Linked DNA regions of Cricetulus griseus. The protein of the gene in region 1 interacts with the protein of each later gene in a biochemical or structural test. Links are inferred from orthologs where the notes say so. Each region holds a gene or a part of one and is shown in the gene's direction. Other genes may lie near its edges.

Region 1 (4,271 bases):
CGCCTGGTGGGCCTTTGGCTGAAAAAAAAAATCTCTCTTAAATAGGACTAGAAATTTCAAAGTATTTGATATTTTATGTTTCCTAAATATAATAAATGTCAAAGGAAAATTCAACCAATGCTTTTTAGCGCAAGTATAATACAGTTGATGCTCACAATCTCAACTCCCTTCATTGGTACAGCACCTACCTAGACATCTAAGGAATAAATTTCTCACCCCAGACCATCTGAGAAGAGGGGAGCAAAATTGGAAGATAGAGAGATGGGAAAAGAGTATAATTAAAGTACACTGTATAATTAATATATGCTAATTAAAACAATGACAGGATCTTTCACCCCAGATTTTATTTTTTGTTTTGTTTTTCTTTTTATTTTAATTAGAAAGAAAATTATTTTACATGTCAATCCCAGGTCCCTTTCCCTCCCCTCTGCCTCTCACCCCCCCACCCCACAACTAACACCCTACCTATCCCATACCCTTTCTGCTCCCAAGGGAGTGTGAGGCCTTTCATAGGGGGTCTTCAAAGTCTGTCTTATTCTTTGGGATAGGGCCTGGGCCAACCCCCTTGTGTCTAGGCTCAGGGAGTATTCCTCCATGTGGGATGGGCTCCTAAAGTCCATTCCTATGGTAGCAATAAGTACTGATGCACTGCAAGAGGTCCCATAGATTTCCAAGGTCTCCTCACTGACACCACGTTCAGGGGCTCTGGATCAATCCCATGCTGGTTTCCCAGCTATCAGTCTGGGGACCAGGAGCTCTGCCTTGTTCAGGTCAACTGTTTCTGTGGGTTTTACCATTCTGGTATGGACCCCTTTGGCAGGGAGGTTGAGTTGAGGGAAGAACAGAAGAGAGCAAGATAAGAGATAATATAATAGAGGGAGACATAGGTTTAAAGAGAAATCAGGCACTAGGGAAATGTCTGGAGAGCTACAAAGATGACAACAACTAACAATCTAAGCAAAAGAGGAGAGGCTACCTTAAATGCCCTCCCCTGATAATGAGATTGATGACTAACTTGTATTCCATCCTATAGCCTTCATCCAGCAGCTGGTGGAAGTAGAAGCAGACAGCCACAGCTAAACCTTGAACTGAACTGAAATCCAGTTGCAGAGAAGGAGGACTGATCACCCCAGATTTTAAAGAACTACCAGTCTTGTGAGAAGGAATCCATTACTGGATGGAGCAAGCAGATAGTGAATCCTCTCCTTCCGGACCCCTTCTCCCAGATGCTCCCAGGTGTGAGGTGAAGACCCTTGTCAAAGGCAACACATCGATATCGTGTAGATTACATTGTTAAATAAGACCAGGAGGCCTCAGAGAGAACGAAGGCAGCAAGGCAGTTTCCTCCACCTGTGCCTGCGGCTAGCAGGCTAGCAGTCGGCAGCTTCTAGCACCTTTGACCTCTCTCTCACACGCTCCACCCAGTCTCCGCCTTCTCTGCTTGAGTCCTCCCCTAGCCGTTCAACTCTCCGCTCCTCCCCTTGCTCCTCCCGCTTCCTTCTAGACTAGCCTCTGAGAGGAAACTGAAAGTGAAATTTAGGGAGCAGGCTTGTGAAAGCCACACTGGGAGCTCACCCGTAGCCCATGCTGAGGACCCTGCTAAGGTGAGTGAGGCTGGGATCCCCGACCCACCTAGGAGTGCTCTCTCCTCCGCCCCTTCCCACCTGCGACTCCCACCCGAACCTGCCGGCGCACCTGCTGCTTCTTTTCAGCAGTGTTCTCTAGTTCCAGCCCTGGCTGGCTGCCCACACAGGCCTGTGGAAGCGGGGCTCTGAAAGTGACTTTCCCGGTGCCCTGCCTGGAAGGGGCTGTTTAGTGACTGGTGCCTGAGCTGAGACGAGGGGGCTAGTAAAGGTGGGAAAAGCAGGCTGTGAGCTAGCCCAGAGGGGAGCTCAGGGAAACTCCTGTCCCTTGAAGACCTCTGCTGGAGGTGAGTACTAGCCATTTAGAATGCTCTACTGAAAATTTATGTAGATTTAAGACTCTCAGCGCCCTAAAGGAAGTTAAGACAGGTACTAGGTTTGGATAGTCTTAGAGAAAAGCCTGGCAACTGCTCTCCACAAATGTGTATGGATAAGTACACATATTCACATATGTACATAAACATTCATATAGGAGAACATGTGGACACACCTACATTGATGCATTTGTGCTCAAGTATATTTTATAAATAAGAACATATTAGGATAAAAAACAGCTATGTATATATATGTATATACATAAATACATACACATGCAACCCTAATGACTGGGAAATGTACCCTTAGATGATGCCATAATGAACACACACCTTGAAGTATACTTCCATGAACCTATGATATAGCCTATTATTCATCATCATATTTGACCAAAATATCTCATGTAACGAATAACTTCGTAAACCTTTGACTCCTTACTCCTGCAGTTATTGTCAAGATTAATGAAGACGGACATAAGCAATGTAGCACCCAGTTGGAATATGGAGGGTGCTTGGTAAATATGGCATATGGTAAATGGTCACTCTCCGCGCCATGGAGGCGCAAGATGAGAGAAAGTGTGTGAGAGAAGTCTGGACACTGAGGGTTAAAGCAGGGATGGATATGATGAGCTGGAATTATTAACAGCATTATCCCCGCCACTTTCCAATGTTTCTTCTGGAAACTCAGTTTCCCCTTCTGCCTGACTAGATCAATGGGTCAGACTAGGGAGGAGAGGCTGCTGTTGTGCAGGTTGATACTCTTGCCTTCATTTGTTTCCTTCTCCTGTGTCATTTTCTCACATGTTTTCCTTTGCATTGTTTTGGGAACTTTTGGTATTGTCTTGCTTTTGCTTTTGTCATGCAAACTTTCATTTATCTCTTCCCTCCTCCTCTGCACTCAAAATCCTCCAAGATGGCTCTGGAAAAGATGTGGGAAAATGTCATCTGCTCTATCTGTCTGGACTCCATGGTGGAGCCTATGAGTATCGAATGTGGCCATTGCTTCTGCAAGGAATGCATTTCTGAGGTCGGGAAAAATGGTGGCGGTATATGTCCCGAGTGCCGGCAACAGTTTCTGCTCAGAAACCTCAGGCCCATTCGACGTATAGCCAACATGGTAGAAGACCTTAAACAAACAGCCGGGGATGCCAATAAGGACACCCAGGAAGACCGCTGCATGAAGCATGGAGAGAAACTTCTAGTGTTCTGTGAGGAAGATGGGCAGGCCCTTTGCTGGGTGTGTGCCCAGTCTGGGAAACACCTTGACCACACCAAGGTCCCTATTGAAGAAGCTGCTCGGGTATACCAGGTGAGGCTCTAGCACAGAGACACCCATAGATATAAAGAAGGTGCTCCATGAAGAATGCTCCGCTCCCCAGCATAGTGACTGAGAGTCATCCTTACAGGGGAATGGAGGGTAGTTTCTCATTGAGAGGAACTTGTGCATCAAATACAAGCTTATTTCTCAGGAGCCGAGACTATGCCGTGGGATGTGCGTGGATTATGCTTCCTCTGGCTTCCTGGTGAATTAGAAATGTAATGACCAGATCCCATTCCCCATCAGTGTCGCTCTGTTTTGTAAGACATACTAGGTTTCCCCCAAAGTCTTCCCATTCCCCTCTTCCACATCTCTATCTGGGGACTAACCTACCACCTTTTTCTACAGGAGAAGCTCCTCGTGGCTTTAGAAAAACTGAGGAAAGGGAAAGAATTCGCCGAGAAGCTGGAAATGGATCTTGCAATGCAAAGAACAGACTGGAAGGCAAGAACCCGGGGATAGGCTGGGTCCCAGGTCTTGATCTCAAGCAAGCATTAACTATGACTGTGCCTATCCAAGGGGTGGGAGAATTGTTATATAGGTCACTCCCCAAGGACCATCCACACTATATCTCTAGACAGAGAAGAATTTAAGAAAGAAAGAAGGAAGGAAGCTTAAAATCAGATGAGATTTCCCCCAATCTGTCACAAAGTTCAAGAATTACTGCAGAAAGTCTAAGAAGGTCACACCATCCCTTCTGACCCTGTCTCGGTGAATGACGGTCTTGTGATAACAGGTCTGAGGTATCCTGTGAGAAAATCCCAACTCCTGCACCCTTTAGACATGACAAAGAGGGGAGGGAACAGCCGGAAAGGATCTATGTAAGTCTGAGGTAGGAGGCCCACCTGACTCGGTGGCTGCTTAATGATGACCAGGCTATTAGTGCAAAGCCTGGTAAAGAATTAAAGTCTGTCGCATTGGTAATTTGCCAGGAGAAAAAAGGATACATCTGAAATTGACAAGGAGTGTAAGGGGCTCAGAGCAATCACAGACCCC
Region 2 (4,098 bases), on another chromosome or scaffold:
AAGGGGAAAAAACCATTTCTGGTAATAGGGTGACATCTTAGAGAGGGAAGAATACCAAAAAAGGTTTCTCTTTGGTAAAGATAAACTGTGTTAACATTATGCCATAGAATAACTGCATATTTTAAAGATCTTTTTCCTTTTGTGAACACATTTCCTTGCGGATGTTCCCAGAGAACATCGTGATCTATCTTAAGTGTGAAGAGTGATATTCTACATTGCCATTATATTTATATCTATCGTAGAGAAATGTCTAAAAAAGAAGGCAAGTCAATAAAAAGAAAGATTTAAACTTTCGGGTAAAGCAAAAGCCATCTATCTACTCGACATGCCAGCCTCCTTGACTCTTTTAGAGATAGGACAGGAGGTGCAAGCTTTAGCCTTCCATTTTTTCTTTTATAAACCAAAAGACATCTTTGGTTCTGGAAGAGCTTTAAAAATGTGACTTCTGATAAATGTTGGCAGAACTGGTGCATGCCTAGAATAAATTCTGTATGCTCAGTGTTTCCTGCCCAAACTCATTCATAGGTTGGCTGATCACAAAACTGCCCACCACAGAATTGGCTGAAGAGAAATGTAGACATGGCACAACGTGAGCTAATATATGAGAATTTGTGGCTAGAGTCAAATCGCTAATCAAATAGACTGATGTAACAACGACTACTATGATACACATGGAGTTTGCAATTTAGATGGTTGGGTAAGGAAGCTAGAAAATCTCACACAAAAGAAAACATTATTCTTTCTCCTTCCCTTCCCACTACATTTCAGCACAAAAAATCTAGTTGCTCTTGCCTTTAAGATGACAGCGTTGCCCTGCTCTCAGTTTTCATTCTGTTCTATAAGGAAATTTGTGACTCTCTGTTCCTCCCCCCAACCCCCAAATTAGAAATAGCCTCCTGGATCTGCAAAGACTAGAGAGCACCTCCCCCCCCCCCGCGAAGTTTTATCTGGCTCAGAAGAAGAGCTGTAGGTGTAGAAAAGGCATACAAAGGGGGATTAAAAAATAAATTTAAAAAACTACAAATCTTACACCTGTAGCTAGGAAAACAGAATGAGACCAAAAGAAAATAAAAACAACCAAAAAATTCGCGCATCCAGACAGCTTCATGATCTAGGGAGTACTGCTGCGGTTCGAACCTGAGCTGCGCCTCACCCAGTAGCGAGGGTGGGCCAGCGTGTAAACTGGCTGGGATGAGAGGTACCCAAGGCGCCCCGCCCCGCCCCACCACGCCCCGCCCCGTCACGCCCCCGGGCGCCCGCGCCACAGCCAATCGGACGTGCCGGCCCCTTCCCATCGGCGACTCCACCCCGTGCCCGGGATGTTGGGCCCCCGCGGCGTGACGCGAGCACGGCGGCTCCGCCCCCTGCGTCTCTGGCCTCGCTGGCCTTGGGGGGATGGTTTCATCATGGCGTCAATGCAGGTGAGCGGAGCTGCTGCAGCGGGGCGGGCGTGGGGGCCGCCGAGACGGGGCGAGCGTCGGCGCGGGGGCGGCGTCCGGGGCCGCGGCCCAGGCTCCCGGTGGCCTTCCCTGACCCCAGAGCGTCGGGGATCACCGGTCGGCGAGCGGAGCGGGGGTGTCGGCCGGTGGCCGCGGACAGTCGCGGCCGCGAAGTTGTGGCATAAAGGCGGCTGAGGGGAAGAAAGGGCGAAGTTCGGCGTGCGCTCCGCGGTGGGGGCTCCGCTCCGCGCCCCCGCTCGAGGACGGCCGCTGCTTGGCTCCCAGGCCACGGGGGAGATGCTTTCCTCTCTCCCCTCCCCCTGCGCTCCCCGGCGGGGTGGAAACAGCTGTGCCCGCCGCCGTCGCCCGCGGTCCGAGCGGCCCGAGACTGGCAGAACGCGGGGCAGCCGGGGAGCGCCTCGCCGAGGACGGCCGCTTGCCCACGGCCCTCCGCGGCCTTTGCCCGGCCTCCCACGCGCAGCCTCGGAACGCACGGCCCTTGCTAGCTCTTCTTCGATCTTCATCCCGTGCCCCGTGGGTGCCTCCTTCTGTCAGCCCGCACTCTGGGGCATTCCCCGGCAGCCCACGTCTCCTTCGAAGCCGCCCTTCGCCCGCGTCCCCAGCGTCCTGTGCCACCCTGGGTGCGAGCTCGTGGGCCTGCTCCTCGGCCTCTGGAGAAACTCGCTCTTAATATATTTTTTTTCCCTTAGGATGCCCCACCCTTGCGGACTCGGTAAGGCTTTGCCCTTCTTCCCCAGACCTTTAAAACCTTAGTTTGGTAGAAGGTGCCTGTTAACCCGTGCCCTATCAATCTCTTGATGGTGGTTTTCTTGCCTTCCAACTTAATGTACTCCTTTTTTCCCCCTTCCAAATCCAAGAAAAAAAATCTTTTTTTTTTTTCCCCAGGCAAAGATGGCAACTACAGTTGTAGTTTGTAGAGATTGCATTATCTGTAGCTGGCGTTTAATGTACAGATAGGGTTAGCGTGTTAAAGCACATAAGGAGAGCGGGTAGAACTCTTGTGTAGAGAGTCAGCGGAACGCCTTTTGGAGTTTTACACCCTCTTGAGTAAAGAGAGAAACCACATTTTCCTTAGAAGAATTTTTGGCTTTTGTTTCTAGAAGAATAAGCAAGATCCCGTTGTTGGCGCTTCTCTGTGCTGGAAATGTTTTTCATTCTTGCGCATTTTCCCCCCTTTTCACTGTGTCTTTCAACCTGCTTTCCTTAAAATACTCTGCTTTTGCCTTTGCGTGTCCCTCTGGCTTCTCCTGCAGAACAATAAAACTGCAAGTAACATTTCTAGTTGAAGAGATGTCACGAAATGGTGCAGCAAAAACAAGAACAATTTCAGGAAACGTTATACTTTACACTCTCCCCAGAGACGTTAGAGAAGTTTCGTCATCTGAGGCCAAAAACGGAACTGTGGAGCACCAGTTGGACAGCAGATGGGCTATATGATTGCTTTAACATTTTTATCGGTATTAAGACATTGTTTATTATGACCTTTCGAAGATGAGCTGTCTTAAGATAACAGGCATGATTTAAGACTAAAAATAAAGATTAAAATCCACACACTTGGGATTGTATTTGGCGTTGGCAGGAGAGCTGGTTAACTTTTACTACACTTCAAGTATTTGGAAAAAGCAGGTTTGTATATAAGAGAGATGGATATTTGGTATTCACTCTGTGTCTTCAATAGTGGGGAAAATGCCTTTTATGCCTGATCTGAGCCTCAATCACTACCTTAGACTCTAGCACCAGGCTTTCATTCCTTTGTCTTCTGATTAGCATGGGGAACTGACCCTTTCTGTTTCAATTAAGGTTAAATCTTGGCCTTTTGTATGTATTTCAAATTATCTGATAATTTTTTTCGGGAAATAACATTTGAGGAAGATTTATTTTTATGGTGTGGGTGTGTGCATGTGAATGCAGGTGTCTGTGTAGGCCATTTCTGATTGACTGGAGCTAGAGTTGTAACAGGTGCTTTCCAGTTGCCAGATGTGTGGTGCTGGGAACCAAACCAGGCTCCTCTGCAAGAGTTGTTCTTGCTCTTAACCACTGAGTTATCTCTCCAGCTCCGTAGCAGACTCTTTGAAGGACACTTTGGTGTGTTTTCTTTTTATTTCTGTATCTTTGTACAAAGTTTATTTCCTGACCATTTTCACAGCAGGAATTAGCTCTTTTCAAAACAAACACAACAATGTAAGTAATCAAAGGTGTTCATTAACTCAGCAAGTATTTTTAGATAAGATTTCCATATCTTACTACAGGGGGTTATTATTATTGCTGAAGAAGAGATTACTTATGCTGCAGTCGGAGCTGTATTTTAAAAACAAGCCATACTGTGCACATGTAATGTGGGATTTGATCACTTGATAGCAATGGAATAATTTTTATATGCAATAAAATCAAGTTAGGGCGGTCTTTCAGTTTCTTACTAGAGGATATGAAATTTAAAGCTGAGGTTATAATTATCTGTCTGTCTGTCTGTCTATCAGTCAATCATCTTTTTGGTTTGGCTGTTCTGGAACTCACTCTGTAGGCCAGGCTGTCCTCTTAACTCAGCTGTCTGCCTGCCTCTGCCTCACAGGTGCTGGGACTAAAGGTGTGTGCCACCACTGTCCAGATTGTTTTTATGTGTTTTTTTATCTTTTTTGCT
Region 3 (3,963 bases), on another chromosome or scaffold:
CAGGACAGCCAGAGCTACAGAGAGAAACCCTGTCTCGAAAAACCAATAAAGGAAGGAAGGAGTTGCTTTTTACGTACAAGAATGTTATCACTGAGAAAAAAATTAGAAATTTGACACGGAGGCATTTTTCATCACATTTCAAAGAGACCTGGGCCTCCATAATGTTGTTCCTCCTCATTCTAGCATACAGAATCTGGGTGACTTGCTACAATTTTCTCTTTGGGGGATCCACCTTTGTGCTCGAAGAGAGGTGATCAACTTAGCCACCTGCTGTGTAACCTTATCAAAAAATTCTCTCCATATTTTCTTATTCTCCACGGCGTATTTCCTAAGGCTAACACGCCGGTGGCTGTGGAGAGAACATCGAGTCATGGCTTGGACGGGGCGGCCAGTCTCAAGGCTCCCTGTGCAATCTGGTAGTACTAATCCTGCCAATAAATGAAGAGTTGTGTGACCTTGGAAAAGTCCTTCTCTCTTTCAGGAAAGTAGCAGCGGGATTAGGTACTCTCTTCCGAGTCCGATGGTGACTAAACAATGTGGAAAACACGTGCCTTTAAGCGTTTATTGATCTTCGAAGCCCCAAGCGCACAGGGTACCAGATGCTGATTTGCGGCCTTGGCGGAGGAGCATCTAGAACCCGCGCGTAAACTCTCGCGAGATCTCCTCTCAGTGTCTCGCGACGTCATCCCCTCCGCGGCGTGGCTGCGCCGGCGCGTAAGGTACTCGCAGGGGCGGCCCGTATCCCTCCGCCGCCGGCCCGGCCCGGCCCTCCCTCCCAGGCCCGCCAATCCCGGAGCCTCCCGACCTGCCCCTCGGCCTGGGCCCACCCCGCGCTCTGGCGGCCCCACCCCGGCGGCGCGCCGCCCGCCGCCCGCGCGTCTCTTAGTCCACCTGCACCAGGCAGGAAAGTGAGCTTCCCCGGCTCCGTGGCCATCGGGCGCTCTGCGAGCTCGCAGCTTGGGGCTCTTCCTCCCCGGCGGAGGGATCCACGGCGGCCGAGGAGGCGGCGCTGAGCCTACGAGGAAGAGGCAGCTACGGCGGCTGTGGCAGCAGCGCATAAAGGGGCCGCCGCCGGGTGATGCGGTGACCGCTGCGGCAGGCCCAGACGCTGAGTGGGCCTCGGCCCTCAGCTCGTCGGATCCGCGCTTCGGAGCTCCCGGTCTTCTCCGGCCGACTCGCGACCGCTCGGGCGGTCTCAGGCCCCCTCGCCCCGTCCCCGTCCCTCCCCCGTCCCCGTCCCCGCCCCGGGGGCCGTCGCCACCGTTTCCCACCATGGCTCTGAAGAGAATCCACAAGGTAAGAAGCGGCCCGGGTGTTGCTGGGGGAATGGGCCGCTGGGCGAGCCCGCTGAGGAGGCTGCGGCCTGCACTTCCCGCGGTCGCCTCCACTGGGCTCGCGGCGTCTGGTTCCCGCTGCCGGCGCCGGCCCCACGGGGCGGCCTTCACACCCCACTCCCAGAGATGGCGCCCGCGAAGGCTGGAGCGCGGGGACCTTGCTTAGGCCGAAGTTGCTCTGGTCCTCGCAGTTTCCTCCCCGACGCCTTTCCAGGCCCCGCTCCGGCCTGGGACTTGCTGCTCACTAGGGCTATTGTCCGGCCTGGGAAGGGACTTGGGGGGGCGCGGAGGGGGTAGCGGCTGGGGCGTTGGGCGGCCCCTGTGGTCCGAGGTCGGGAGGACTGTTGTCCAAGCTCTGTCCCCCTACTCTGGCGCCCTTCGCTGAGCTGCCCGAGATCCAGGACCTCGACAAGCCGACCAGAGGGCTCATTTGCCCGACCCACGGGCTGTTTTCTTGAGTTCACTTAACTCTTTGGCAGCTAGCTGCACCCTTCAGTCCACCTTACTGGTCTACAGACTGGAGTAGAAAGTCAGAGGGAAGAAAATGCCACTTCGGAGGGAGAAGGGAATTAAGTGGACAAGGGTTTTATTTCGTGGGGTGGGAAACTAACACTTCAGTTTTGCAGGATTGGACCTAGTGGAACAACTGTTTACCTGATAGGGTAGAAGCCAGTCAGTTCAGAAAACCGAACGTTGAAAACCGCCAGAGAAATTGCTTTCACAGACTTCTCCCAAAATGATTTTAACGCTAAAATTAGATGGTGTATTCGAGAAGACTCCTAATTTAGAAGGGATTTTACTCTATTTTTGGGTAGAAATAGTTTTAGTTGTCTTAAGTGAAAGGTTATCCATTTATTTGTTGATAAGATTTAACACTACAAGGAGAGCATAGGCTTGGCTTAAACTTTAGGGTTTCTCACCCCCCCCCCCAATCTCTTAGTGTCACTATATTTCCTTGGACGTAAGAAGTCGCCCACTGTGAGTTTTGTTTGGTGTTTTATTTGGCTCCTCAGGTGGGCCATATTAAATCTTTACCTTATTAGTAAGTGGTGGGACCTGGGATTACCCATACGGGCTGATGAGATGGGGATACAAAGAATAGAGAAGGAAGTCAAAATGCAGATTGAAAGATGGAATACCACAGTTGAGCAATTGGCCCTCTTTATTCAAGGCTTGGAATGTGGAATTAATTCCATTCCTTACTTCGAATTAGCGCCTTACCAACTTTTGGTTTCGTTGCTTTCTTAGAAATCAACGGATAGCCTTTAGCAGTATGTCTTGTACTAAGATGAAGCAGGGTCTTTGCTAAAAGAAGTATGAACTTTAGTAAAAAAAACAAAACAAAAGAAAACCCTTGAAAAACCTTGTGAGGGATAAACATCCAAGTAATGTGTGTGTATTTTTGTTTTTGTTTTTCGAGACAGGGTTTCTATGTGTGGCAGCCCTGGTTGTCCTGGAACTCTCTTTGTAGACCAAGCCGGCCTTGAACTCACAGAGATCTACCTGCCTCCTGCTAGGATTAAAGGCACCTGCCACTGCCGCTGTGGGTGTATTTCTAAGACTTCAGCAGTCATATAATATAGGGTCTTATAGAGTCTGATGGGAAGCTATTGATTTGAAATGCTGTTTGAAATATACCTATAGAAGATTGTCCTCCAAGGCTGGGAGAGAATGTGAGTTTGATGTATAATAATTTGCATCGATAGTTTTAATTTTTTTTTTTTTTTTTTTTTAGGTAGGGTCTTCCTAGCTCTGTTGGCTTGCAGCTTACTATGGTGTAGACCAGGCCGGCCTCAAACTGTTTCTGCCTTCAGAGTGCTGAGATTAAACTAGAAAATTAATGGCTTTTAGTGTTTGTATTAATATCTGCTATAGAGACTTCTTCAGAGAGGGAGATAACACTGACTCAAAACACACATTTAAATCTTTTTTGGTTTTTCGAGACAGGGTTTCTCTGTGGCTTTGGAGCCTGTCCTGGAACTAGCTCTTGTAGACCAGGCTGGTCTCAAACTCACAGAGATCCTCCTGCCTCTGCCTCCCAAGTACTGGGATTAAAGGCATGCGCCACCACCACCTGGCTATATTTAAATCTTAGATTAACATCTGCCCCTAGCAATATCTTCTGTTTTTGAGATAGGCTGTCACTGTGTAGTTCAGGGTGGTGTTGATCCTGAGTACTGGAATTCAGGCATGTACCAGCACACCTGCCACCACTAAATCTTTTTGTATAGTACTAGGGATTGAACTCAGGATCTTAACGTATGCTAAGGCAAACACTCTGCTACTGAACTACATTCCCAGTTCTTACAAATCTTTAAAAAAGAAATCGGGTTTAGAAATGATCATTTGACATTTAAAGGGGTGTGTCTGTGTGTCGGTGTCTGTGTATGTCTCAGCCATAATCCTCGAATTAGAGGATAACTTTGTGAAGTCTATTCTTTCACCTTTTCATGGGTCCTGGGGATTGAACTTTTCTTCTTCCAGACAGGGTTTCTCCTTGACTCAGACCAGGATGGCCTTGAATTCACAGATAATCTGCCTGCTTCTGCCTCTCCAGAGCTGGGCATAAAGGCATTCGCCACTACCATATGTCTGTTTTGTTTTAATAAACTTTTTTTTAAAGATTTAT
Region 4 (3,500 bases), on another chromosome or scaffold:
CAATTTTTCCCTTTCCAGCACTCCCTCAAATACCTTTGGAAAGTCCCTCCATTGGGAAATATGAAGATCATTTATTCTAGAAAAAATGCTTAGCCACATACTTGTAAAGGGAAGTGTGGGCCTCCCTTACCTTACTTGGTAGCTAATTGGTAGAGGCACATGTCACCAAGCTTGACAACCTGAGTTCTGTCTCTGGAGCCCCAGCCGTAGGAGGAGAGAACCAGTTCCCTTAAGTTGTCCTCTGATGCCCCAGGCATGCATGCCACAGAGAGGAGGGTGTGCATACATGTACATGAGCACACACATATGTGTGCAAATAAATAGATGTAATTTTAAAAATGTAGCCATGTACATGTGTGTATATTTTACATTTCAAATAAATGTGATGTGTACAAAGTGACACTAGTTCAGAACCCTGGTTTTATCCTTTACCAAAACATGAGAGATGGCTCAGAGGTTAAGAGCACTGGCTGCTCTTCCAGAGGACCTGGGTTTGATTCTCAGTACCCACATCAGGCAGCTCACAGAAGTCACATGTCTGTCCACACACACGTGTAGTTGAAAATAAGTCTTTTAAAATGAGGTTAAAGAAGGGTAGATGCAATAATCTACCCTTCTTTATGAGGGTAAAGATGAGGTAAAGAAGGGTAAAAGCAATAATCAAGGTGAGACAGAGGTCAACAGTGCTGCCTGTAGAACTGGGACACGAGCTGATGAGTGGCCTTGCTGGAGGTGTCCTTTCACCTCTGTTTAGGCAGCACCAGACACATACTGTGTTTTATTTCATGCTAAGGGGACTCACTGCCGCTGAGCTAAACCCCTAACCACACAGACCATTCACAAACCTGTCGGCATACTCACCGTTATTTCAACAAGTATGCAGTTGTAAAGTGAGGTTACAGATGTAAACTGGGTATTTGCCACTGAGTGACATAAAGGACATCTTAAAATGGCATTTACAGGCATTCCAAAGTCCGGCAGAAGAGTGAAGTGGACATTGTTGTCAGTGAAGATTTGAATGGAACAGTGAAGTTTTCCAGCTCTTTACCCTTCCCCAATAATCTTAACAGGTATGGCCACCGGGCATTCGTGTCCTGTTTATTTTTCTTCTCTTTAGAAATACAGGTTTGAGGTGACATCTGATACATTTGTTTGTTTTAGTTGTATATGCTTGAGAGACTGGTACCTGTGGAAGCCAGAAGAGGGATCAGATCCCCTGAAACTGGAGTTGTAGACAGTTGTGAGCTGCCATGTGTGGATCATGGGAACCAAACCTAGGTCCTAGGCAAGAGCAGCCAGTGCTGTTAACCACCGAGCTATCTTCAGACCCTTTGATAACGTTTGAATGGATAACAGAATACCATCCTATGATTGAGCACTTGACCAATCCAGATCAACTTCAGACATAGAATGGATTCTTGTATCTGGTCTCCCTAGAATCTTTTTGTTGTTAATTGGTTGGTTGGTTTTTGCTATGGAGATGAAATCCATGTCTTCATTTATGCAGTGCAAGTGCTCTACCAGTGAGCTTCATTCCCAAACCATCTCTTTGCTAAATTCACATAGCAATTTACTTGTATATCTTATTGTTTTCAAGGGAAGCTAAGACAAGAACTCAAAGCAGGAACCCAGAGTAGAAACTGAAACAGAACCATGGAGGATACTGCTTATTCCCTTGTTCCCTCTGGCTTACTCAGCCTGCACTCTCTCTCTCTCTCTCTCTCTCTCTCTCTCTCTCTCTCTCTCTCTCTCTCTCTCTCCTCCCCTCCCTTCAGGGTTTATAGCCCTAGCTGTCTGTCTCTGTCTGTCTCTGTCTCTGTCTCTCTCTCTCTGTCTCTCTCTCTGTCTCTCTCTCTCTGTCTCTCTCTCTCTCTGTCTCTCTCTCTCTCCTCCCCTCCCTTCAGGTGTATAGCCCTAGCTGTCCTGGAACTCACTTTGTAGACCAGACTGTCCTTAAACTCAAAGATCTTCTTGCCTCTGCCTCCTGAGTGCTGGAATTAAAGGTGTGTACCGCCACCCCCAACTCAACCTGCTTTCTTATACAGCCCAGGTCCCCCTGTTTAGGGAATGGCACTGCCCACAGTAGGCTAGCCCCCATAACCCCCACTGTATCAATTAACAAGTAAGAAAATGGCTCATAGATATGGCTACCAGCCAACCTTTTCAAGGCAGTTCATTTAAGGTTCCCTTTTCCCGGGTGACCCTGGGTTTGACATTGGCAGCTGAAACTATGACAGATATCTACTTTGAAGTATATCCACTTCAGCATAGAGTTTGTCTTATTCCACAGGAAGTCATTTAAGGGTAGGGATTATACCTTATTCCTCTTTGTGTTCCTTGTCTGGCCTAAACAAACAAACCTTTAAGGTTTGAATGGCACTGTGGTCTAGGCTTAGAGCTAGAATATAAGCACTTAATTAGTGAATCAGAATTGGGTCATAATATAAAAGAAAACTCCAGGTTGGTGACTTTACTCACATATTTGGGGACAGGGGAGGGAGCCCTATGGATTACAGCAGTGTGGAGTAACATTGGCTGTGCTATAGTTGCAGGGAGGAGGGATGGGAAGAGTTAGAGAAGACATGGACAGATGAAGGAGAGCTGGTTCAACAGGGAGGATTATAGAGGCACACGGGGTTGCCCCTAAGGGGGCAGTGTGGAAGCAGCATGGAGCCTAAGTGGGCAGGGTGGAGCACAGGAGCCTAGTGTGGGACAGCAGGAGGATTTTGAACATTGGCATGTACATATCCATTAGATGCTCTTAAATCAGCAAGCAGCTCAGGGTCCAGACCAGGGCTACTTAAAACTTCTGCTTGGAGCCCAGCATGATAAAGCACACCTTTAATCCCAGCACTGGGGAGGGAGAGGCAGAGGCAAGAGGATCTCTGTGAGCTCAAGGCCAGCCTAGTCTCCATAGTGAGTATCCAGGACAGTCAGCATCCAGGACTACATAGTGAGACCCTGTCTCAAAAACAAAAAACAAAAAACAAAAACAAAAACAAAATCTTGCATTTGGGATAACTTTGTGCCCAAGAAATGTTCATATTACCCCAGATATGTAAATATAGACTATATAAAGTATATATAAATATATAAAAGTATATGAAGTATATATAAACAAAGTATATAAATAAAACATCTACTGATAATAAATTATAAAGAAATTTATTCATTTTTAAATTTTTTGGTGTATATAGTTTTACCATTAAAGACAAGTATTAGATCTTATTAAAGACAGATATTAAATACATAGATATTAAATTTATATATTAATATGATTAATGAAATATGTATGCTTCTATTTTTACATGAAAAGTTAAATCTTTTTTTTTTTTTTTTTTTTTGTTTTTCGAGACAGGGTTTCTCTGTGTAGCTTTGGAGCCTATCCTGGCACTCACTCTGGAGACCAGACTGGCCTCAAACTCACAGAGATCCGCCTGCCTCTGCCTCCCGAGTGCTGGGATTAAAGGCGTGCGCCACCAACACCTGGCTGAGTTAAA
Region 5 (3,500 bases), on another chromosome or scaffold:
GAGGCATCCCGAAGCATGGTGCACCCCAATGTGATTTGTGATGGTTGCAACGGGCCTGTGGTGGGAACTCGCTACAAGTGCAGTGTGTGCCCAGACTACGACCTGTGCAGTGTCTGCGAGGGGAAGGGCCTACACAGGGAGCACAGCAAGCTCATCTTTCCTAACCCCTTTGGCCACCTCTCTGATGTGAGCTGGTTCTTTGAAGTCCTGGGGGCTACAGGGTAGTGGGACCTGAAAACCCTTACCCCTCACTGCCCTGCCTTGTTTTCTCCTGCCCAGGGCTTCTCTCATGGCCGCTGGCTTCGGAAGCTGAAGCATGGACATTTTGGTTGGCCTGGTTGGGAGATGGGTCCACCGGGGAACTGGAGCCCACGTCCTCCTAGAGCAGGGGATGCTCGCCCTTGCCCCACAGCTGAGTCAGGTAAGGCTGGTATTTGAAATGACTTTGGGTGTCATAAGTAGCCAGCCAACTCAGGTGGGCCGTTGGCCAAGTCGTCCCCATAGCCTAAAGTCCAGCGTTGCCCACAGTAAGCTGTGCACTACACATCCCTTTCTTTTTTGTTGTTTTTTGGGGGATATAGGGGACCTTGCACATAATACATACGGGTTCCATCATTCTGCTACACTCTGTCCTTATCCATGTTATCAGAGCCTCTTCAGAACCCTGTAGACACAATGCATTTCCATTTTACAAGTGAGTAAACAGGTGTCTGAGTGCCTAAGGCCACTATTTTCCCTACAGGGCCCACCCTACCTACCCTGCCTGCTAGGCTGCCCATCTGAGGTATGAGTAGGTAGCTGTGTTTCTAGTTTTGGGAATATCAGGGCCAAAGTTGCTCAAATCTTTAAAAGACAAAACCAAAGAACTATTGTTATAAAGCCATTTGTGGTGGCATATAAAATCTCAGGACTCAGGAGGCAGAGGCAGAATGATCAGGAATTCAAGACCAACCTTGGCATAAGACCCTGTCTCCAAAACCTGCAAGAACTCACCTAGCTCTGCAGTCTAGATTTGGGATTCAGCGTCTTGATTTTTCTTTTTTTCTTGAGACAAGGTCTCTTTGTGGCCCTCACTATGTAGCCCAAGATGGCCTTTAACTTGAGATTCTCCTGCCTCAACCTCAATGAGTGCTTGGATTGCAGACATGTTCCAGAATAGCCAGCTGGAATATTTGTTTGATTCTGAGTAAACAGCATATCTAGGACAAGGTCAATATTTATATATTAGCTGTACTGAGCCTCTGGTACAGAGGCCAGAGAGACCTAACATGTGATCCACTGGGGAACCAAGGGTGCAGTGTGGAAAGGAAGAGAAGCACCAAGTGCGGTCAAGGGGTCTCAGGACAGTGATTATCTAGGTGATGGGGACCTTGACACAAAAGTTCTGTGATAGATGGCAGAGTCACAGAAAGGTCATCTTTCTTTTTGTAAAACTCAACAGCTTCTGGTCCGTCAGAGGATCCCAGTGTCAATTTCCTGAAGAGCGTGGGGGAGAGTGTGGCAGCTGCTCTCAGCCCTCTAGGTGAGTGAGCTTCCTGGTCATCCTGCACGACACCCCAGTGGCTTGGTGACTCAGTGTACAAATGGCCTTTTGGCAACCTTTTCTGGCACACTGCAGAGGCCAGGGCAGATGTGCGCTTGACACCAGCAAGGTTGTTGCGTAAAATTAACCTTTGCTGAGGACTGGAATGGAGCCTCAAGGTTGAATTTATGACTAATTCTTGAGCTTTCCACACAAAATAGAATGAGCCAGTGGGGAGGGTGCTATATTGGCAAATGGGCTAGCCTTTGGGGTAACAACAGCTTGCCTTTTTCTGAGCAGAGTCAGTTTTAGCCTTAAAAGCAAGCAGTTCATTTCTTTTTCCTTTTCCTTTTCCTTTCCCTTTTCTTTTCCTCTCTTTCTTTCTTTCTTTCTTTCTTTTTTTTTTTTAAGGCAAGGTTTCATGTTAGCCCAGGTTGGCCAAGAACTTTATGTAGTCCAGGCCGGCCTTGAACTTATAGAATTCCTCCTTCCTTGGCCTGCCAAGTGCTGGGATTTCTTTTCCCTCTCATTTGAGAACCTCAAATCTTTGTGAGAGCAGGGAGAAGGTGCTAGCAGCAAGTGCTCTGGGTCATGCCTAGCTCTGCAGAGGGCAGAGGAAGTCTGTTGGGGTGGGGGAGCACAGTGTCACCTCTCAATACTGTGGCCCTATGTACTGTCTTTGGGGCATACTGGTTTGGTTTAGGAAGTGCTTGCCCACATCCTGTTCCTGTGTCTGCAGTGTTGGGAGGTGACCGCAGGAGTCTGTGCAAAGGCCATGCCCAGTACTGAAGGAATGCTGATGAGGGGGGTGTCCCAACCCCACCAGTCTCTCCTCCTTTTTAGCTACTAGGTATCACCACCACTTGCTGCAAGCCAAGGCCATCTCTGCTCATGCTGTTCCAGGATGCAGCTGTGAGGCAACAGTGACATCCTGGCCTTTCGGTTAAGTTGAACATCTTAGGTTGAGATGTGGTATAGCTCTGTGGTAGAGTGTTAGACTGCAGTTCTTTGCACACAAAAAAAGCAAGTACAGACAAAGCAGTTTGGTCAGACCACATGGTTTTGGCATTGCAGTAAGAGGCTTTTGAGAGAGCCAGGCTCGTTGCTTTCCAAGGAGGTTGAAGTGGTACAGCAGCAATCGGATTGTAGCAGGGAGAAAAAGAGCTCACTTTGGGATATAGTGGGGTTCTGGAAGATTGTAGTTCAGTTGTGAAAGATTGTCTTCATCCAAAGGTGAACTTTTAGAGGCTGCTAGCAGCTTCTCTGGAAGACATGTCAATGTATGGTAGTCCTTTTGTGTGATGGAGACAAGGATCCCCAGCAAGGGTTGCTTTGGAATGTGTTTGTTAAGTTAATGTGTGTGTGCACACTCATGCAGGCATTTGCATTCTTAGTGCCCAAGGGAGCTAGAAGAGAGTATTGAGACCCTCTGGAGCTGGAGTTGTAGGCAGTGGTGAGCTGCCTGATGTGGGTGCTGGGAACCAAACTGTGGGCCCTTAGCAAGAGCAGCAATTGCTCTTACCCACTGAAACATGTCTCTAGTCCTGAGAGTGTGTATTTTGGCATGTGAAAACCTGGTCACTTTGAAAAGTGAGAGTCCTTCAGTAGACAGATGAGAGAGTAGGGATTCAGCAGTCTCAATTCCTAGCCCATCCTTGGTCATGATGATGCTTTTGACTTCTGTGGGATGCTTCCCAGATTGTTCTGGGTCTCACTAGCTAACAGCAAGCAATGCTGGTGGCTGGTGTACCAGGACCACTGACTGGGGTCTTTGTTTGGGAGAATAGGCATTATTTTGCAGTGTTTGAGGACATCTGGGAGGATAAAGACCTTTGAAGTATGTTGAGTTGCTAAGTAGTAGACTATCTGGAGCTGGACAGGACGGCAGAGTTTCTAGAAAAAGACTGAGTAGTTTGAGCTGAGGATTGATTGGCTTCAACTTTTATGGAAGTCATGGGAGTTTTCCTTCCCTTTTTCT
Region 6 (3,500 bases), on another chromosome or scaffold:
AGTTGCTACACTGGGCCAACATCAGCTTGCAATGGGTCTCGTTGTGACTCTTGACTGCAGAAGTGAAGGAGTCCCGTTGTGGGTGGTCTTTGTCACCTTTTGAGTTTTCTGAGCTGCCTTAAACTGGCCCCTCTTTGTTGTCTGTATTTCTTCCTACACCTGAGGAGCATCGATGGTTTGAAACAGGCTTTTCTTTCTATGGACGAAATGCTAATTGTGAACGAGTAGGCAGATACTCTATCTACTCCAGTCTCCTTTCTGGATGAGAACACGCTAGCCTTCCTGAATGCCATACATACTTCCCCTGGGGCCGTTTATCTACTGAGTCATGCAGTTTTCAATCATTTGCCCTCGGATCCAAGCTGAAAAAAAAAAAAAAAATGCTGAATTTCAAAGAAAAGTCTCTGAGGAATTATCCTAAATGACTAAATTATTCTATTAAGTTGTTATGTGAGAGGGGAAAATGCAATATATTTACTTAACAGCTTTCCCTAAGAAGCTAGTTCCTTCTGCTTGGTGTTCATTATCTGCTTATCTGCTCTGAACCTTCCAAGTCCTGTCATCTAAAGGCATGCCTCACCGTTGGAGCTGGGGCCTCCATGGTAATTCTCAGGTGAATCATGTGTAGTAAGCAATTGTGACGTTGTTTTGCACACCTCTCTTATTTCTGGACCACAAACACATTCCACCACCCTCTATAATAGCACTTGCTGTCCGCGTTGCCCACGCTTATCTTTATAATTTGTTTCTATTTTTTTTACATTTACTACCATGCTTATCTTTGTTGTTTGTTTACTTTTTAAAACATTTACCAAACTAGAATTAAGCAACACAGTAAGAATAATTATTTAATACAGTGCTCTGATTTTTATGCAGAACTTTAAGCAGGGAAAGAATGACAAGAGTTGCTTTTATTACCCATGGTGCAGCCCAGTAAATATGAAGGAATTAAAATGGAATTTGGGGTATTTTATTTTGCTACTATTTTCTTTCCTTTAATCGTGTGTGTGTGTGTGTGTGTGTGTGTGTGTGTGTGTGTGTGTGGCCACTCAGGAGGTGACCAAACTTGAATTCCTTTGGTAAAGTTGATAATACTTAATCCAATCTACCATGAATCCTGAATTCATCCAACTTGGTTTTAGAGTTTTACATTGTACAATATAAAGTACTAGCAATTGAATATTGAGAATAAATTGTGTGTAACCTTCTTACTAAATTATTCCCTTTGGCCATATTTAAGTGGACATTGGAAATCTAAAAGAAACAAGGTAAATATTAGTCATAACCTTTAAAAAATACTGGTGACTGCTCTAGAAAGTTACCTTTCCTCACAGCAGTCCTTGTGTCTACACTGGTCCCCGTAAATGACCTGTTTGGTTAAAACCATACTGTTATATGCATGTCTGCTTCTCTTTAAACTCTGTGGGCACCTCGGAAAACTTCATTCCTGGAAAGGAGCCTGCTCTCAGGTAAATTACTCAAACATCTGGTGCAAGGATTACATTTTTTACAAGCATCAGACAGCATCGTATAGAAGATGTGACCCTCTCTTTCACACTGTCAACACCTGGGGGGGAACATTCAGTCTTGTGTACATGTTGTGGCCGGACACTGATGCGCCTGTTGTTCATTGCAGCCTGACAGTGCGTATCAAGGCGGAGTCTTCTTCCTCACTGTCCACTTCCCGACAGACTATCCCTTTAAACCACCAAAGGTATTTATTTCTGTGGCTGATGCATCCCATAGCAGGGGTTCTCACTGTTTGTCTAGAGACAGGCTCATGATATCACAGGTTAGCTAGTACAAGGTCCTTTGTACAACTTCCAGATCTAAAATACTCTTGTTTTTTGTTTGTTTGTTTGTTTGTTTTCCGAGACAGAGCTCCTCTGTGTAGCTTTGGAATTTGGAGCCTATTCTGGAGTTCGATCTGTAGGCCAGGCTGGCCTTGAACTCACAGAGCTCCTCCTGCCTCTGCCTCCTGAGTGCTGGGATTAAAGGAATGCACCACCACTGCCTGGCTAAAATACTCTTTCTTAGTCAAGTAGTTTCCTTTGCCTGTTAAACAAAAGGTTGCAGTGGCTACAAGTTAGGCTCATGGGCTTTTCCTCCTTATGAGATATGTGTAGTCTGGAATGTTTTTATAGTCTGAGAATCTATAGTCTGTGGACAGACTTTCCTGTCCACAGTGTTATCCTTCCAAAGAGGACCCTGTTTTCTCTCTTGAAGTGTTCAGTGAACATACATTGACCATCCACTACGTCCCTGCATGATGGGAACCACAAATGAAGCACACTGAATGGCAGCAGGGAATGAAAAGACATTCTCCAAGGTTTAAAGGCCAAAGAAGAAACAAGTGATGGGGGGGGGGTGTGAAGGAGGGAAAACAAACATATATTTGCTGCTATGGAAATAATTGTAGCATTTTTAAAACACTGAGTTTAAAATCCTATGGATGACATCACACAACAGTGACTCTTGTCGGAATTCAGATGCTCAGTGGGTTTTACAGGACGGGTGATCATCTCACTTCTGCTCTGACGGACTCGGTGACCTGTTTATAGATCCAGGTGGCCTGCTGGGTGTTACTCACAGGCTGGTTAAGAAGAGTATTTGGAGGTGTAATGAAAGCCAGAGCAGCTGGTCCAAGTGCCAGTCACCCCAGTGATTGCAGACATCCTCATTACACCCAAGATACGTCCCAGCACCTGGAGGAGAAAAGGAGGTTAAACTGAGTCTCCTTCAAATTCCCAATAGCGGACCTGCATGTAGATGTTTCTGTTCCAAAGCTGTGTAAAGTTGAGCACATTTCTCCCTTGAGTGGATTGGTTCTGCTTGTTCATCGCTTGTGACGATCAACCTTTTTGTTGTTGTTGTTCTGTTTTATGTGTAGATTGCTTTCACGACAAAAATCTACCACCCAAATATAAACAGTAATGGAAGTATTTGTCTTGACATCCTGCGGTCCCAGTGGTCACCAGCTTTGACTGTATCGAAAGGTAATTTCATTTATCAGATTTAAAATAGGCATGGAGAGGACTGTACAATGTCTAGGGACCAGAGTTTAAACAAAAACCGAAGTCCAGACAAACAAAACAGATGCCTCAACCCTCAGTGCTTACTATTTTTGTTTTGTTTTCTCTAGTAACTCTTCGGTCATTCTGGCTTTTAGTAAACTCTGGGATTGGGAGAAATGAGTGAATGGCCAAATCTAAACAAAAAGGGAGTTCAAGGACATCCAGAACTATTACACAGAGAAACTCTGACTCAGAAATAAAAAAAAAAAATTTTTTTTCAGCAGTGAATTTACCATAAAGTGAATAAAGGAAAGATTCTGTCTATAATTATTCAGATTACTATAGTTCTTCTTGGAATGGTGTCCCAAAATGGCTCTCATTTGCCACAAGCTGCTAAGTCCTTCTCACTTAAAGAAATGGCTGGCTGCCACGTACTCAATGACTATCAGTGGTGCTGTGGCTTTTGACTAAAAAATAATTCGTATT
Region 7 (3,345 bases), on another chromosome or scaffold:
TATAGTTAGCAGGTGGAAAAATCCTATGAGAGGAAAGTGTGTGCTTAATTTGTGTCTTAGGTACGAAACATTCACATTGTTTTTTGTTTGTTTTTGGCTTTTCGAGACAGGGTTTCTCTGTGGCTTTAGAGGCTGTCCTGTAACTTGCTCTTGTAGACCAGGCTGGTCTCGAACTCACAGAGATCCACCTGCCTCTGCCTCCCAAGTGCTGGGATTTACAGCCACCAACGCCCGTCTGTAACACTCACATTGTATTAGGCACTACAAGTCATCTAGAGATGGTTTGAAATATACAGGAAGATTTCTGTACTTTAAATACAAATAAATACTGTACTATTTTATGTAAGAGACTTGAGCATCCAGAGATTTTGATGTCCTAGTATTTTAGACCTAGTTTGCCCTTGAATACAAAGAATGTATTGCAGCAATCCTGGTGTCATTTTTCTTTCCTTTTACATGAATATAATTATGTCTGTCTGTCAGTATCATCCATCCACCCACCCACCCACCCATCCCTATATCTTTTGAGAGGTTCTCCCTACATAGCCCTGGCTGTCCTGGAACTCACTGTGCAGACAAGGCTGGTCTCAAAGCCACAGAGATACATCTTCATCTGCCTCCCAAGTGTTGGAATTAAAGGCATGCACCACCATGCCCATCATAAACAGTTTTTTTTTTAAAGCATTTATTATTTGTGAAGGGGATGTTTGTGTGCCATATTTTGGCATTATTTGGAGGTCAAATAAACATTTTTCGAGTTTTACATTTGATTAGCTAAATTATCACTGGGAGATTCTTTTATGTCTAATTAAAAAAGATCTGATTTTAACTTTGGTGTTTAGTGAAATGACATTTGTTTCACAAGTGTGTTTATTTTTCTGTTGTAGGAAACCCAGCGTTTGCTGGCAGAACCAGTTCCTGGCATTAAAGCAGAACCAGATGAGAGCAACGCCCGTTATTTTCATGTGGTCATTGCTGGCCCCCAGGATTCCCCCTTTGAGGGAGGGACTTTTAAACTTGAACTATTCCTTCCAGAAGAATACCCAATGGCAGCACCTAAAGTACGTTTCATGACCAAAATTTATCATCCTAATGTAGACAAGTTGGGAAGAATATGTTTAGATATTTTGAAAGGTAAGTGTTGTCACTTAATGTGTCCTTTCTGTCTTAAGCATTCCATATTTAGAATGTAAATATTGTAATCTCATGTTAACACCAGTGTGTGGGAGGGAAGTTCAACCATTCTGGGCCTGTTTTTCATGCTTTATCATATCATACTGGGCCTGTTACCTTCATAGATAAGTGGTCCCCAGCACTGCAGATTCGCACAGTTCTGCTATCAATCCAGGCTTTGTTAAGTGCTCCTAATCCAGATGATCCGTTAGCAAATGATGTAGCCGAGCAGTGGAAGACCAATGAAGCCCAAGCCATAGAAACAGGTACTTCATATTCTTTTACCTGCTTTTTTTCTAAACAATCTTTACCCCCCCCTTTTTTTTATGAGCTCAGATTAAAAGTAATCTAGAAAAGGAGATCTTGCACTGTGGGTTAGATCTACATGGATCTAACAATGACTGTCTGCTTATGAGCAGTGTGTGAAGAGACTAGAAAACTTGAAATTGTTTTATACTGTCTTTATGGTTCATTTAAAGTACATAGCAGTTTGTAGAGTATAGAATCCACAAACTTCTTCCTGTGACAGTTACAACAAAATGAGGAACGTTATTGTCTATTCAGAAGTGAAAGACACAACCATCTCCATTTGTTGAATTTTATGAAAGGTTTGAATCTATTCTGGTCAAAATAGTGCGAACCTTAGAAAAACCAAGACCTCTTTCTAATCAGCTGTACTGTTTTAGTAATGAGATATTCAGAAAAGTGATCTGATCCAGTTTATAGGAGATATTGTGAATTTAGGAGGGTATGTGTAGCTTAGCATTTCCACAAAATGTGTTTATTTGTTGTTTATGGTTTTGAAAAGAAATCTGAGTTAACTAACAGTTGCATGTTTGTTTTTACCTACAGCGAGAGCATGGACTAGGCTATATGCCATGAATAATATTTAAGTCGATCAGATCATCAAGTGTACATCACTTCTCCTGTTCTGCCAAGACTCTTCCTTTTTTTGTTTGCATTTAATGGACACAGTCTTAGAAACATTACAGAATAAAAGCCCAGACATCTTCATCTTTGGTGATTACATGCACATTAGCAAATCTATGTCTTGTCCTGATTCACTGTTGTAAAGCATGAGCAGAGGCTAGAAGTATCATCTGGGTTGTTGTGAAATGTTTAAAAGCAGTGACTCTGCTTGGATTCGTTTCCCCATCATGGTTTAAGTACAAAGCACTGTGAATGAAGGTAGTTGTCAGGGTTAGCTGCCCAGGGGTATGGGTGTTTTTATTTTATTTTTTAGGGGGAAAATAGTTTTATTTTAATTTTATGGTCTCCTTTCCCCCTCCCTCTCTTTTGGGATCTAATTGCCGTGGTTAAATGCAGCTAACCAGTTTTTTAGAATATGCTCTCTAGCCAAGTCTAACTTTAGACGCTGTAGATGGACAAGCTTGATTGTCTGAACCAAAATGGGAACATTAAATAAACATCACAGCCCTCACTAATAACATTGTGACTTTGCTGTTAAGTGTAGATTCTCTGCCCCACCCCCAAAAGAAGAAAAAAGCTTGTGACCATTTTGTATGGCTTGTCTGGAAACTTCTGTAAATCTTATGTTTTAGTAAAATATTTTTTGTTATTCTACTTTGCCTTTGTACAGTTTATTTTACTGTGTTTATTTCACTTTCCCAATGTGACAATCGTATTTAAAATTAAAACTGATGGAACATTCTGTTTTGGTCCTCTCCATCTGACAAATTGATTGGCAAGAGGAGAATTTCACCAGTTTGTTTCATTGATGCAGATTTGTGTTAGGATTTTACTGAGTGAGTATTTATAAACTGGCTCGGAGCATGCATGAAGCATCAGTATCTGTTTTTTTTTTTTTTTTTTTTTTCCCTCCTAGAAATTTTAAATAAATGTTACCTGATTTAATTAGGTGATCATTGGTGTCTTGCCATAATGTTTGAAAGTTGATCACACCCAACGGTCAAAATAAAAAGGACAGGTAGATGTCCTTATACGGGACTTTCACATGTCCACATTTGAGCCTCAGATTGTAAGTTATGACTTGGTTCTTGTCTGAAAACCTGATTGTTTGTGCCATTAGGAAACCAGTTGAGGTTTGTGGAGGCAGTTTTGAATCCTCCTTGTAGACCCAGTGAACAAATCCCAAGCAACAGGCTTAACAAGGGATTATCAGCTCTTCAGTTTCCTGTGCTTTTATCCCTC

Evidence for each region.
Region 2: the proteins of Trim21 (region 1) and Ube2w are reported together in a solved structure, tested with the Homo sapiens proteins (2 studies listed by BioGRID, with this or other methods). The link is inferred for Cricetulus griseus from reciprocal best matches to the Homo sapiens genes TRIM21 and UBE2W.
Region 3: the proteins of Trim21 (region 1) and Ube2d2 form a complex in vitro, tested with the Homo sapiens proteins (10 studies listed by BioGRID). The link is inferred for Cricetulus griseus from reciprocal best matches to the Homo sapiens genes TRIM21 and UBE2D2.
Region 4: of the proteins of Trim21 (region 1) and Ikbkb, one has a biochemical effect on the other in vitro, tested with the Homo sapiens proteins (2 studies listed by BioGRID). The link is inferred for Cricetulus griseus from reciprocal best matches to the Homo sapiens genes TRIM21 and IKBKB.
Region 5: the proteins of Trim21 (region 1) and Sqstm1 form a complex in vitro, tested with the Homo sapiens proteins (2 studies listed by BioGRID, with this or other methods). The link is inferred for Cricetulus griseus from reciprocal best matches to the Homo sapiens genes TRIM21 and SQSTM1.
Region 6: the proteins of Trim21 (region 1) and Ube2d1 form a complex in vitro, tested with the Homo sapiens proteins (3 studies listed by BioGRID). The link is inferred for Cricetulus griseus from reciprocal best matches to the Homo sapiens genes TRIM21 and UBE2D1.
Region 7: the proteins of Trim21 (region 1) and Ube2n form a complex in vitro, tested with the Homo sapiens proteins (3 studies listed by BioGRID, with this or other methods). The link is inferred for Cricetulus griseus from reciprocal best matches to the Homo sapiens genes TRIM21 and UBE2N.

The regions. Positions count from the first base shown.
Region 1 is NC_048596.1:96,819,911-96,824,181, forward strand, and holds the start of Trim21 (E3 ubiquitin-protein ligase TRIM21), read left to right. Parts: upstream 1-1,471; 5' UTR 1,472-1,604; intron 1,605-2,870; coding exon 2,871-3,266; intron 3,267-3,623; coding exon 3,624-3,719; intron 3,720-4,271. UniProt on the Homo sapiens protein: E3 ubiquitin-protein ligase whose activity is dependent on E2 enzymes, UBE2D1, UBE2D2, UBE2E1 and UBE2E2.
Region 2 is NC_048595.1:144,389,840-144,393,937, forward strand, and holds the start of Ube2w (ubiquitin-conjugating enzyme E2 W), read left to right. Parts: upstream 1-1,298; 5' UTR 1,299-1,319; coding exon 1,320-1,421; intron 1,422-4,098. UniProt on the Homo sapiens protein: Accepts ubiquitin from the E1 complex and catalyzes its covalent attachment to other proteins.
Region 3 is NC_048595.1:201,744,477-201,748,439, reverse strand, and holds the start of Ube2d2 (ubiquitin-conjugating enzyme E2 D2), read left to right. Parts: upstream 1-1,163; 5' UTR 1,164-1,272; coding exon 1,273-1,296; intron 1,297-3,963.
Region 4 is NW_023276807.1:61,017,970-61,021,469, forward strand, and holds part of Ikbkb (inhibitor of nuclear factor kappa-B kinase subunit beta), read left to right. Parts: intron 1-962; coding exon 963-1,070; intron 1,071-3,500.
Region 5 is NC_048600.1:64,663,554-64,667,053, reverse strand, and holds part of Sqstm1 (sequestosome-1), read left to right. Parts: coding exon 1-186; intron 187-279; coding exon 280-421; intron 422-1,441; coding exon 1,442-1,522; intron 1,523-3,500. UniProt on the Homo sapiens protein: Molecular adapter required for selective macroautophagy (aggrephagy) by acting as a bridge between polyubiquitinated proteins and autophagosomes.
Region 6 is NW_023276806.1:266,581,901-266,585,400, forward strand, and holds part of Ube2d1 (ubiquitin-conjugating enzyme E2 D1), read left to right. Parts: intron 1-1,636; coding exon 1,637-1,714; intron 1,715-2,890; coding exon 2,891-2,996; intron 2,997-3,500.
Region 7 is NW_023276806.1:161,533,208-161,536,552, forward strand, and holds the end of Ube2n (ubiquitin-conjugating enzyme E2 N), read left to right. Parts: intron 1-887; coding exon 888-1,134; intron 1,135-1,298; coding exon 1,299-1,439; intron 1,440-2,025; coding exon 2,026-2,066; 3' UTR 2,067-2,845; downstream 2,846-3,345. UniProt on the Homo sapiens protein: The UBE2V1-UBE2N and UBE2V2-UBE2N heterodimers catalyze the synthesis of non-canonical 'Lys-63'-linked polyubiquitin chains. This type of polyubiquitination does not lead to protein degradation by the proteasome.